Linked DNA regions of Drosophila melanogaster. The protein of the gene in region 1 interacts with the protein of each later gene in a pairwise test. Each region holds a gene or a part of one and is shown in the gene's direction. Other genes may lie near its edges.

Region 1 (5,026 bases):
ATCTCTGACCAAGGTCGTTGGGTTTGGATTATCACTCGACCTTCCTGGGTGTCAATTTCCACCTGGCCGACCCCATCCAGCGCCGAACGGAGGGCACCGGCATAGGATTCGTCACCTCTTCGCATCTGCACTGCAAATTCGATCTGCACATTAACATGGAAGCAAGTTTCCTGACCCGAATAACATATACTTACCTTAATGGAGCTCATTTTTATGGTCAAAGTGCCGACTAACAATGATAAACAAACTTTGGTATCGATGGCCGTCGATAGGTTCAGACAAATCGCGCCTTCTGTCATCGAAGAACGATAGGTTCACACGGAACGAAAGTTTAAGGCGTTTGTAAACCACTTATCCAATAAATTATAACGTTGAACTGATATTACTAGTTACGTATTAGAACACAGATGTAATATTTTTATCGTAGAACGTTTTACATTTACAAAACCAAAGTTACTAGCTTCGGTTTTGAACTTTTGCATAAATTGCGTGCTTTTTGATGAAGAAAATGAATTCTGGTATTTCTATTTAAGTCACTCCATATTTCCAAAATGACTATATTAATAATATTTGTGATGTTTGAAATTTATATAGATTACAACTATATTTTAAGTGAATAGATTAAAGCTTAATTTAATAGGGCTAAGTACCTTGGATATAATCATTGGTTTTCTGTTTAGTTTGACCAACAATTTTATAATCTTAAGCTGACTTTGTCCAACTCTTCTGGACCGATTCAAAACGCTAACCCCGAACTAGCTTAGATGCTAACTTATTTAATTTCCGTGCTAATTTTCAGACCTGTAGCTCCATTCACTTCATATTACGTTTTATAATTTTGGCTTAACTTTTCTTTATGGCCGCCGACAGTTTTAATCAATGGCCATAAAGAGTATTTTTAAGCCAAATGATGCTAATTTTTTGGAATTGATAGCGCTAATTTTTGTCTACAAAAACCGCAAGCGACAGATGCTGGCTTATTGAGGCCCAAAAAAAAAACGTGCAACCAATATGAATGAAGCTTTTCCATGCGCGCCACTTTATTGCAGCCAATTGCGCCTTGACTTTCATTGTGCAAAATAAATTAATTTCACTTGGACCCCGTTATTGATAGCAATTTAAAAACAATTGAGAAATATTTAATATTGCCTTCAATTGAAGAACTGTAAAAGGAAGCACTACAACAAAGAATTATGATAAAACCGTTCAATTCCCAAAAATTTGGCGAGTCGGCACATGGCTTTGTCAATTAAGGCCTTTCTTAGCACGTCGATCTAGGGATAGAGATGAATGATATCGGTGGATAACAATTAGTCGCTATTAGAGTACCGTTACTAGACCTTAAGTTCAACACTAGGAATGTAAGAAATTTAGTTTCTTTCCCAATGGTTATGTGGCTATTCACATTAGTAATATTATTTAATGTTTGTATTAACTTATATATAAGTTGAGTTAGTTCCGCAGATCCGTAATAATTTTTACAAGTCTGAGATGGTCCACCCTAACGACAGATCGACGCCATACGCCCTGAGCCACTCTGAAGAGAAGAACGCCCACACAAAAAGGCAATGTTCTCTTTGGGGCAGCGACTAATGGCAACAGCTGTTCTTGTTGATAAATAGCATAAAGATTTTTGTCGCCTTGTTTTGTGAGAGAGCAACAAATGCAAGTCAGCCTCTGAAACAATCACCTGGAAGGATACGTGTGTCGGGAATGTAGATAGATAAGTTGGTCTGGATAGTGCGTGCCACGGAAAATTAGCCTTGCCTTTGTTTCACTTGCATTCCACAAAGACGCACGCACACACACACGTGCACAGAATGACCCTTACAGTGGGGCTTTGGTATTGGTATTTGTATTTGCGGGTCGAACGCCACGCTCTTTTGGAGCGAGAGTGAGAGAGCGAAGAGAGAGAGAAACATAACGGGCTAGTGTATTTATTTTAATATTAGCTTTGTGACGTTCGCTCACCAAATCAGTATTTTTCGTACCATCGGCGTTAAAACACATGTTCAGCGATTTAGTGCGGGAGTGTAAACTAATCTGAGTAACAACAACAGCATCGTCGGCAAAGCAACAACAACGGCAGCAGAAAATTTTAACACGTTGACGCTTTTTCTAGTGTTTATAGCGAGCGGAAAAGCTTACTAAGCGCGTAACAAGCGAGACCCCGAAATCTTTTTTCATCTCGGTCTTTTCGCCTTTGCGTCTTTGAGTGTGCGTGCCAAAATTCAAATACGTCATCGACGCGCGCAGCCTTAAATCGAAAAGGAATGAAATAATTGATATACACAAATGCCAGCGAAAGATTGAATTCAATTGCAGGAGCAACAAATAGCCAAACAAATTGAGGAAAACAATTCCTCCAACCGCACAGCGACAACTTCAATTAATTAACTTGTTATTGTGTAGTAGCAGTCCGCTTCTTGCCATTCACCGCGAAACGCAGCCACACAAAAGAACGTGCAAAACAGCTGGGACTCGAACTGAGAGTAACGGAACGTCGAGCAACAAGTGCAGCAGCAGCAGCAGTAGCAGCGAAAACAGCAGCAACATCAGCATCATCAACAACAATACAAAGCCCTTTCAATTGCTGGAGAGAGGGGTGGTCCATGTGTCTATGTGCACTCCAATGAATACGAAGACAACGGCCACTTTTGTTGTTGCCACAATCAATTAGAGTGATAGCAGGCGGCAGAGGAAAAGCAGCGCGGCAGCAGCATCCGCATCAATTTGCTGTCAGCATCTGAATCTTCGGGTCGGCATTATTCCGAAAAGTGTGAATGTGAGCGTAGTTGCTCCCGTTCCGCCTCCGTAATCGCAAGTGCTTGTTGTTATTGTCGCACTCGTCTGCGATCCGCGAACCGCGATCTTTGCTTGTGTTTGTAACGGCGACGTCGTCTTGATTGGAACGCTCTGTATTTCTTGACTTTTTTCGTGCTTTTTTGATTCCGAAACTGGTGTATCTGTAGTTTCCCGCTAACGGCGAAAATTCACACAACTCATTGATATTTTAACCTCGTGTCCGCGTTGGCTGCCGCTCGACCAAGGTTCTGCCGCACAAAATGCTCGTCTCTTTGGGCTTTTCGAAGCCTCGCTTCGTCGGATTAAAAGTGCTCCTCTAGCACGCTCGCAAGTTAGTCCGGCCACAAAAATAAGAAAACCCAAAACTTTAAAATATAACCATAACCCATTGAATTGGCAGAAAAAGTTTTCACCACCCACCGAATCGTACCGTTATCGTTATCGCGAAACAGAATCCACAGATAAAAAACGTTCCGTTTCACTTCGTCGTAAATACAGTGCTAAATCGTGTGAAACAAACTAAAGTCGCTGCAAAAACAGCCTAATTTGTCTAATGAAAGCCGAGAGCATTTGTGAATAATTAGCCCCGAAAAAAAACCTGTTCGCAGTCACCGCAAAAATTAGGCCCCAATAAAAAGTGACGATCCAAGAAACTGGCATCTCGCCCGCTTGATATATAACACCCCAACACAAACGTAAAGTTCGCGATAACACCTATACAAAATAAAAAAAAGAGAGAAACCAAATCCAGCGAATCAACTTCAGAGTAAAGTCGCAAAGTCAGTGCAAGCCAGAGCAAAATCGTCGAGCAAACCGAGTAGTTGTCCAAACGTTAAGTCGCAAAAAGTCTAGGAAACCACCCCTACAATCGCTATCAGATTTCTAGTGCTAATACGATCGAAATAATGTCAGCCTTCTGACAGTGTATAACAAATAAAGTTACATAATCACCGTTGCAAATCCAATTTTTTTTTGGAAGCGAACCCCCAAAAGTGCCCAATTGGAATGTCGAATATCTGACAGTGACCAAACAAACAGCGAAATCAGTCGAAACCAAACTCAAGAGAGAACCCCAACTGCAGAAGGAAAGCGAGCGAAGTTGTTATCAGTGAAAATATACACACATATATATTCGATTTCAGCGTAAACAACTACTATATAATGTCCGTCGCCATCTGACAGTGGTCCAAACAACCAGCACAAAGAGCTAGAAGTCGCCGCAGCCAGTGACAAGTTTCACCACAGCGAGTGAGACCTGTACCGTAGAACCAACACAAGACACTTAAGCTTGCAACACGGGCTAACCAATTCAGCGATAAATGGAGAAATCTGAAATACGACTGCAACGCATGTCTAATGAATATCAGTCGCAATCGAGCTATATGTACCTCCGGACCAAGATGCTGTTAAAAATCGAGAATACCCTACTTCGAAGCCATCGTCAGCGCGAGACCACCGGTATCAAGAAACTATACAATTCGTTTTTCGTATTGTTTTAATTTGCCCCCCCGGCCAGTCCCGAACCCTCTCAAAAGGCCCCAAGAACACAAAACGCACAAAAGCAAAATTTACAATTCCACTCAACTGTGAGCCAAGTTAGAAAAAGTTACAAGAAAGCAAGTTATACATGTTATACCTACGTTAAATAAATATATGAATAAACTAGAGATATTATTTGGTTGTTAGTAGAACTCACGTCAAGTGCATATGGTTAGCCCTCGTATATCCAAAGTGCTGTGCGACGAACGAACGATTAAGTAAATAAGTGTGTCATATGAGCATTTTGAACAAGCCAAGCCAAAATGTTAGCCTAAGCAAGTAATCAGTAAGTGTTGGTCGATCAATATACGGTTTCTACTTCGAATATTACTATTACCATCAATCACTTTTGTTGCATTTCGCATTGCACCAAAAAACTTGAGCAAAATTGCTGGCGAAATTACTCCGGTCGGAAGTGGTGTTTCGTAATACGGGTGAGAGCGATCACGGTCAAATAATTCAGGAGGATATCAAACAACAAACAACAATAAGCTTGGACTAATAGAGACCAGAACGCGATTCTAACGCCGTTAACTCACGTACCGAATGGCGCTTTCGTTTCTATCCCAAAACTCCGGTCTGTTGGATTTACAAAGCATATTCGATCCACAATATACTCATCATCAACAACAACAACAACAACTACTACATTTGAGCCACCACCCTCAACATCACATTCAAC
Region 2 (4,173 bases), on another chromosome or scaffold:
TAGAAGTTAATGTCTATATTATTTTAATCGTTATTTGTGGTATTAAAGGGTATTCGAGATTTGATTTAACATATGAAATAGATATCAGACATTAAGTATATGTATTAATCTTTCTTAAGATCACTTGCCAGTGATCTGGCCATGTCCGTCTTTCCGTCCGACTGAACGTAGATACCTAGAAAAGTTGATGTAATTTGGTGTTCCAAATACTTATCGACCCTTAAAGTTTTTCACAAAGTTGTTATTTACCTTTTGCCTTTTATTCACTTGTACAGAGCGTCCTGGGATTACGTTTGAGCCGCAGCTGTGCCACAGTCCCTCAGAGCAGAGTAGCTCCGACAGCTCCGACAGCACCTACCAGTTTGCGACGAGCTTCGGCGTGATCTTTGCCCTGACCTTTGGTCTGTCCAAGCTGCTCCAACTGGCGGAGCTGCAGGCCAAAAGGTATTTCAAGAGCAAAAAGGCGCTGCATCCCAAATCTGCTGCCAAAGTGCAGGACCCAGTTGTTGAGCAGAAGGCGCCAAGCCAGCAGGACGATTCGAATCCCTTCGATCTCCTGCAGGACCACAATGAAAATCTGAAGGAGCAGCTCAGTATCCTGCAGTTGCAGTGTCTGGAAATGCGCGAACTTCTGCACGAGCTGGATATCAGCAGTAGCTCCAGTAGCTATGGAAGTGTCAGATCCGGAAACCGGGTAGCAATGGCCAAGTCCTCCGAAGAATCAATGGTGGTGTGGAGGCGATCGGACTCCCTGACCGGTACGGTCTCCGGCTCATTGCACGCCGAAAAGGTCAACTCCCCCTCCACACAAAACATCTACATTACCAACAGCCACTTCCACATCAACGGACAGGTCTACCTGACCGAGAACCACGTGAACGTCGAGCTCACCCAGAACGCTTCTTTGTTCGGTCGGGGGCAGAGCGAGTTCCTGCAGGTGGCGGGAAGGTTCATCTCCGGACCAAAGAAGATGCCCATGTTAACGGGCATGCGGTGCCACAACATCCTCATATGAGGAGTCTTCAAAATCATCCATTTCACTCGGAATAAACAATGTTACTAGCAATTCAACGACGTTTATCTTTAGTAGTTGGTAATACAAGGGAAATGGTTCCATAGAAAAAGGGCATCGCATCAAATAAGGCTTGCTCGACTATAGGTTACTTTCTAGTTTTATTATTGTAGTTGATTTAACATAAATGTTTTTAAAAACTTTGGGGTTCGAGTGTTTTAATGTCATCAAGAAAAGGAATTTAAGGAATAATTCTAGCACATTATCTATAAAGGCAATAATCGCTTACTCCTTTTGATTTACAAAGTTATTAATAATGTACATATGTACTTAATTAACACCAGAAATCGATGCCATTTACTTTGTTTTAGTCTTGTATTTAAAATTGAATTATTCGTTTTTTTGTACTGTATGTTTTTTATTGAATAATTTGCTACTAGAATGATTCCGCCATGGGGTATATTGGGAATAGAAGGGTATGGCTAGCTTTATTGGTCATTGGGTAAATGGTTTTCCCCTGTTTTCCACCACCCCAATAAGTATATTTCGTTACAAACACATGGTTTTAGAGTTCAGCAATAATGATTTAGCACTTTGGGGTCGACCAAGGAAAGATTTTTTCTTTAACCATAGTTACTTTTACCTGCATGTATCACATTATGCATTGACCTGCTTGGATCTACAGAAAATCGTAAGATTAGTTGGGACGCACCGTAAAAAGATGAGTGCAGCTGCTGGAAAGCCCTTCTTTGATGACACCTGACCCAGGTAACATTGTTAAATATGCTATGTTGCCCATTTTACAGAACCAAACGACCTTGGGACATGTTTGTATATAAGCCTTACGACTTACCTATTCACTTCAGAAGGAGTACAACCCTTGTCATAGCAACATCTTTACAGATTGCCAATTCCTGTGCTTATTGCCACATTTTAAATACGCATTCGCCGTGAACAAACACGAAAATAAGGTAAGTTTAAGGTAAGGATTGCCATTGTGGGTCAATTCGTGCCGAGTTAGCAAAGTCATAAATAAACCAAGATGTATTTGGAAATTAGTGCAATTTATGTTTAAAGCTCTACACAAGTATTAAATTTCATTGATTATTAAATATAAGAAAGAGTGCAGAGGGTTCTTTTTGATGCTATGCAACTAAAAGATGACGTTTGTCACTGACCTTATAAAGTGTATGTGTCATCCATGACTACGATCTAGTCGTACCTATTCTGTCCGTTTGTTTGAAAGTTGAGATCTCAGTGTATTTAGCATTCAGGATGTAGATTCCAGAAACGCTAATACTCAAAGATCTGGGAATAACCATTATACTTTTTTGAAACCGTTTAAGTGCACGATTTTGTATATTCGCAATTTTATATTCACACAGTTCGTGTCATTTCAGATCGATGGAATCGTCAATATGCCGAGTTTGCCTGGTCAGTTACGAAAATATGGCCAGTGTTTTCGATGAGTCTCATGAACCGGGCCTATCCATTGCGTACATAATATACAAGTGCACCGGCTGGCAAGTTGAGAAGCACGATCCACTGTCCAACACCATATGCAAGTCCTGTCTGGAGGATGCGCAGAATGCATTCGATATCATAGAAACGTACGAGAGAAGTCACCAGTTTTACCGCTTCCTCAAGGATGTACGGGAGGAGGAGAGTGAAAATGATGGATCCGGATGCTCAGAAGAAGTGGAGGCAGCTGAGAGGGATCTCCAGGATGGTGCCGACGACGTCGATTCCGGCAATGAACCTGATATTAACGAATGTGATATCAAGGCCAAGGAGAAACCAGGCTTTAGCTGTTCTCACTGCCCTAAATCTTTTCAAGTAAAATCAAATCTGAAGGTACACATGCGTTCACACACAGGAGAACGTCCCTTCACGTGTTCCCTCTGCCCCAAGTCCTTTGGCTATAGCTCTGGTCTTCAGAATCACATGCGAACCCACACAGGAGAACGACCCTTCCAGTGCTCGCATTGCCCAAGGTCCTTTACAGCTGGGCACCACCTCAAGGCCCACATACAGATGCACGAAAGAAGAGGATCGTTAAGGTGCCCATACTGCCAAAAGTGCTTTCTAACTTCTTTAATTCTCAAGCAGCATTTGGCCACGCACACTGATGAAACGCAGTTCAAGTGTTCCCAGTGCTCGAAGTCCTTTCAAGTCGAACATGAACTTTGGATGCACATGCGAGTGCACCAAGAACGCCTCTTTACTTGTGGCCATTGCTCAAAGGACTTTGCGCTACATGCGTATCTCAAGCGACACCTGTCAAGGAACGCGAGATGCTCTCAAAGCTCAAAAGCATCTGCTCACAAAACACTAGGCCACTCAAAGGCACTTAAGTGTGGTAAGTGCCCAAAAACTTTCACTGACCGTTCGGCTCTGTCCACTCACTTGAAATCACACACCAAAAATAAGCCATTGCTCGAAGGTCCTTGCAAATCTTCAGGATCTAAGCCGGCACATAGTAACGCACAAAGAAAACCGTTTAAGTGTTCCAGCTGCCCAAGGACTTTTTCGCGGAAATCCGCACTGCTAACACACTTGCAAACCCACACAGGAAAACTGGGCACAAATCGCATGTAGAAGAAAGAACCGTTTGAGAAGGCTAAAAGAATTCGATTCTTTTTTTTTTTTTGTTCGCACGGGTCCTACGTCCACACCTCCCGCCCAACCGACCGAGGGGCGCTGCCGTGTATCGTACGGCTCGATTCGCGAGAAGATATAGACGCGATATAAAAAAGAGAACAGGAACGAGGAAATGAATATAATGTAAAATAACTATATTAAATATTACTGTTAGTAGGATCTAATTATGTAATAAAAAAGTTAAAATCGATTGCTTTAAGAGCGGCAGAGAGTTAAGTCTATTATAGTCAGAACATAAAACTCTGTAAGGGTCATGCAACTCATAGTTAGATCTACAATGATTTAAGATAAGGGGTATATAGTTTCTAGTGAATCTACTTGGAACCGAAAAGTTAAGCCGACTAATAAAGTCGGGACTCTCAACATCCCCACGAATAAGCTTACAAATAAAGACTGTTCCAAGCATAGTTCTACGGTTAGCTAGGGACGGTAAATTAATTAAAGGAAGTCTACTAATATAAGGAGGTAATATACGGTTTGCATCCCAATTTAGGCGCCGC
Region 3 (3,987 bases), on another chromosome or scaffold:
GGGAGAAGAGAAACCTCCGCTCCTGTCTGCAATGTGGCCATGACCACGAGATGGGAGTTCTTTGTCGTAAGTAGCCTTAAAAGTATACAAAGAGGTAGCCACCTTTAATGTTGCTCTTCCAGCCTTCTGCTACCAAAAGGTCCTGAAGGAGACTGAGCTCATGCAGTCGAAAATCCAGGAGACACTCGGTCTAGATCCCGTGGACAAGGAAGTAATCGTTCTTTATGAAGGCGAGAAGGCCGAACAGTCCACAGATGATCTGAAAAACAAGCGCATCGTGGAGATGAAGAAGCCTCGTCCCATGTGGTTCACCAAGAATCTGCTCCAAAAATCCACGCAGCAGCTGTCCGAAACCAAGGAAGTCAAGCCCTCCGACTTGGCCTAGATACTAAGCATCCATTGTGCATTAAATCCACACGTTCGTTATCAAATCGATGCTATTTTATTCTCTGTGAAGGATAAGGACCTTGCTTGCTTCAGGAATCCGTTGTTAAAGTCCTGGGCACTCATAGGTTTTCTACCTTCCACGCGTAACTGAAGCACTTCCAACTGACTCTGCTGAGCACATCCGATTATGAGGGATCTCGACTTCCTTAGGTAGCTGATGGCACCAGGTTCTTGGACGGGAACTCTCTTCTCCGGTAATCGCAACTCCAGCAACTGCACTTGCTTGCCCAAAAAGTTGGTTGTAAGGTTTTTGTAGCCATACAAAGCTCGATGACGAGTGTATATTTCAATGGCACTCAGCTCGGACCAGATAATTTCTGTGATTTTACTGGTAATCTTGGGAGCTGAAGGCAAAAATATAGTTTATATAGGTTCTCGAAGTGCTTAGATATGCTTTACCATAGCTGACCCTTGAACTATCTTGGGGTTTGGCTTCCTTAAGTCTTACTGATAGGTTGTTAATAGTATCCACAAGTAACTCGGCTCCTAGCGACGCCAAAGATGCATGCAGATCCGGCATGAAGACATCGGGATTAATAGCCACTTCTCGCTGAGCTAAAATCTAAAGCATAAGTCGTCAATACTACTGCATACAATGGTAAGATAAGAATGAACTTACATCACCGATATCGAACCGGTGAGGTTCGATTTTCATGATGGAAACTCCAGTGCTGGCATCTCCCTTCATGATGGCGTATATGATGGGAGCAGCTCCCCGCCATTTGGGTAACAAACTAGCGTGAACATTGATCATCCCATAAGGAAATCCATTGATGATACTACCAGGAATCAGGTGGCCAAAGGAGACCACCACACCCAGATCAAATTGCGGACACACAGAAGGATCTATGGGCCACTTTTGCAGGGGAAGCTTCTCCTTTTCCGCGTAGGTCCTCACACAGTTGGCGGGACTTTTGAAGGAGGTAACAACTCCCAAACGATCACTAAGAAAAATATTCTTATTAATCCAATTTAACATTATTGTTTAAAACATTTTACCCGCAGTTTTTGTGTAGCGCCTGTAAGCTGGGCAAGGAAAAATTGTCGGTACCGAAAAAGAGAATTTTTGGAGGGTGGTAAGTTCCCTTGCAGCGCTGTGCAATTGGGATTACATTCTGCCACACTTTTCTCTTATATTTGTAAAAATTATTGACTAAACTCTTGCCGCAAAACATCGGAAAATTTGTTGGATAATAATGCAGCGTAAACAAAAACAGCTGTTCGCGATACCAGCTGGTCACTCTACCAAATAACGTAATAGGAATGCTGAGATAGAGTGAAACCTGTTGAACCTATCGTCTTCAACCATGTAAATGGTGGTCTAACTTTATAAGATCAAGAGTCGTTATTTTTGTTTAAGTAATTAAACTTAGCTCAATACATTACTTTACTTTTATTTATCTGTCTTCAGTGACTATAGACTATCGGTATAGTGTATATTATTTTTTTAAGTTCATCGCACGGTCATACTAATGAGAACGCAATAAAAATTTGGAAAATCAAACATCTACAGGAAAACGTATATTTTTGGGATCAAGTGCCAAGGAACTCCAATACTGCAGAATGGAGGCATCTGCTGCCAAAATCACGCCTATGGCCAGTTCCATGTCCGCTTCCGGATCCACAAACTCCCCCTCCAGTGAAAAAATGAACTACGCACTGCAAGTGGCGCTGCAGACGATCAAGGAGCGGTGCATCCAGCTGCAGCGCCGCGTGGCCAGCATGGAGGAGGAGAACCAGCAGCTAAGGGAGGCCTCCAGCAGGTCGGAAGGTGCTCCAAGGGCAAACGAAATCGGGGTCACTGGGGACGTCCTCTCTCTGAAAGCACAGGTCTCTGAGCTGCAGCGCCAAAAGGAGCAGCTGGAGGAGCACATTGGCATGGTATCCAACGAGAACAGACGGCTCTGGTCCCGCCTATCGCAGATCTCCAAGGATCAGCAGCTGAACGCACTGCCCAGCTCAACAGACTCGCGAGCCCAGCAAAACCAGAACCTGGTGCGCTCCAAGACCTTTACGCAGCACTCCCCCAATCCTCACCTTCGCCAAAAGATGCTCTCCGACGGCATTAAGGATCTCAGTCTGGAGGAAATAGCCCTGGATGACTTCGGTGCCAGCAGTGAGGAACTAGGTTACCCCTACAACCTGCAAAAGGTGGAGGAAACCACTAGTGAACCAGATGCCAATGTGGATGCCAAAAGATGTTTGGATGGACTGCAGGAGCTGAGGCGAGAGGCCATGAAGCAGCAGCAGGAGCTCAGATCGGTAATGACTCTGCTAGAAAATCGCATAGGTAAGCAACAAAATGGAATTCATGCTATAAAAAAAATAACTTTTAACGCCTGTTTTATGTGCAAGCAGCACTCAAGCCCTGTCCGGAATGTGCCCAGAAAACCATCAAAAAACCGGAGATGGCCGACAAAAGTCTGGAAACGGACGACAGCCTGACCAGCGAGCTGAAGAACTATGAGAGCCAACACAATGGACACAATGGCACGCCGCCCAGCCAGAGAATTAACATAATACAAGAGAAAATCAAAGCAGATGCAGCCGACGCAATGGAGAAGACCTGCCCTATGTGCGGCAAGCAGTACTCCAGCCAAGTGTCCTTCAATGCGTTCCGCGAGCACGTCGAGATGCACTTCATCGACGATGCACTGGAACTGGAGTCGGAGAACAGCATTGAGCGCCAGTTTGAGTTCGTTTCCCATGCTGTGGGTGACTTCTGACCCAGTAGGCGCATTTATTTCGCCACCGAACTCTGACCTGACCGGAGAAATCCAAGGATTAAGGAGCAGTTTGACTGCGCAGGAGCCGCTTGTTACGTTTCTATTGATAAGACGTTAGGGCGATCATGTATCAAAACTATACAACATTGAACTTTAAGAAAAAATATATATATATTGTATTATAATTGCGGAGAGTGCATGAATATATAGATGTAAGTGACCGAATACGAAATACAGTTTAAATGAAAAGCCTGAAAACATGTTGAGCGCTCTCTTCGGTTGGTTGGAAAGTGAAATCGTGGACCGTGGACAACATAAATATTATATTATTAGCGCTGACAAATATTGTAATATCAAAGATGACGATCGATGTTACCATCGCTTGTGGTCATTATCCGATCTAATTGGCAGCTTTTCTGTGAGTCACACACTTTGGGGGAAGAGTGGAACATTCGACAAAGAAGTTTGGCTTGAGGCCATTATGCTGTAACTGGTCAGAGGATTTCCCTGTTTTTTTGGCTATGACGTAGTCGAAACCCGACTGGCAACGTGTGCCTAATCGGGCTGATCCAGTCATTCAATGCGAATATTTGCCAAAATATTGACCATAAGATTTGCCATTGATAGCAATACAAATGCAAATGCTCAGAGCTAACTTTCTTTTAATGCATTTGGAGTGGGTCGCAGCAGGAATTTAGCTTAAGGAAACATTTTAATTTGCCTATGCTAATAAGTTTGATAAATAAATATTTTTAAGACACAGGCACGTGGCAGCTCCCGTGGATACTTTATTACGTTACTATGAAATGCTCAG

Evidence for each region.
Region 2: the proteins of gem (region 1) and Neu2 interact in a two-hybrid assay, tested with the Drosophila melanogaster proteins (one large-scale study listed by BioGRID).
Region 3: the proteins of gem (region 1) and spn-F interact in a two-hybrid assay, tested with the Drosophila melanogaster proteins (one large-scale study listed by BioGRID).

Annotation. Positions count from the first base shown.
Region 1 is NT_033778.4:10,122,316-10,127,341, forward strand, and holds the start of gem (gemini), read left to right. Parts: upstream 1-1,977; 5' UTR 1,978-4,124; coding exon of another isoform or gene 4,125-4,304; 5' UTR 4,305-4,890; coding exon 4,891-5,026. Other genes in the region: Ccs (copper chaperone for superoxide dismutase), read right to left, coding at 1-143, 195-209; CG46319 (uncharacterized protein), read left to right, coding at 4,125-4,304.
Region 2 is NT_037436.4:21,488,290-21,492,462, reverse strand, and holds Neu2 (Neuroectoderm-expressed 2), read left to right. Parts: upstream 1-1,876; 5' UTR 1,877-1,983; intron 1,984-2,412; 5' UTR 2,413-2,461; coding exon 2,462-3,610; 3' UTR 3,611-3,613; downstream 3,614-4,173. Other genes in the region: CG7202 (uncharacterized protein), read left to right, coding at 276-1,015.
Region 3 is NT_033777.3:31,253,233-31,257,219, forward strand, and holds spn-F (spn-F), read left to right. Parts: upstream 1-1,894; 5' UTR 1,895-2,010; coding exon 2,011-2,737; intron 2,738-2,805; coding exon 2,806-3,173; coding exon of another isoform or gene 3,174-3,209; 3' UTR 3,210-3,427; downstream 3,428-3,987. Other genes in the region: mRpL32 (mitochondrial ribosomal protein L32), read left to right, coding at 1-66, 123-385; CG1750 (uncharacterized protein), read right to left, coding at 427-791, 847-1,009, 1,067-1,391, 1,447-1,622. UniProt on the Drosophila melanogaster protein: Plays a role in oocyte axis determination and microtubule organization during oogenesis. Also required for polarized organization of the bristle. Required, with jvl, for activation of the kinase IKKepsilon in the germ line.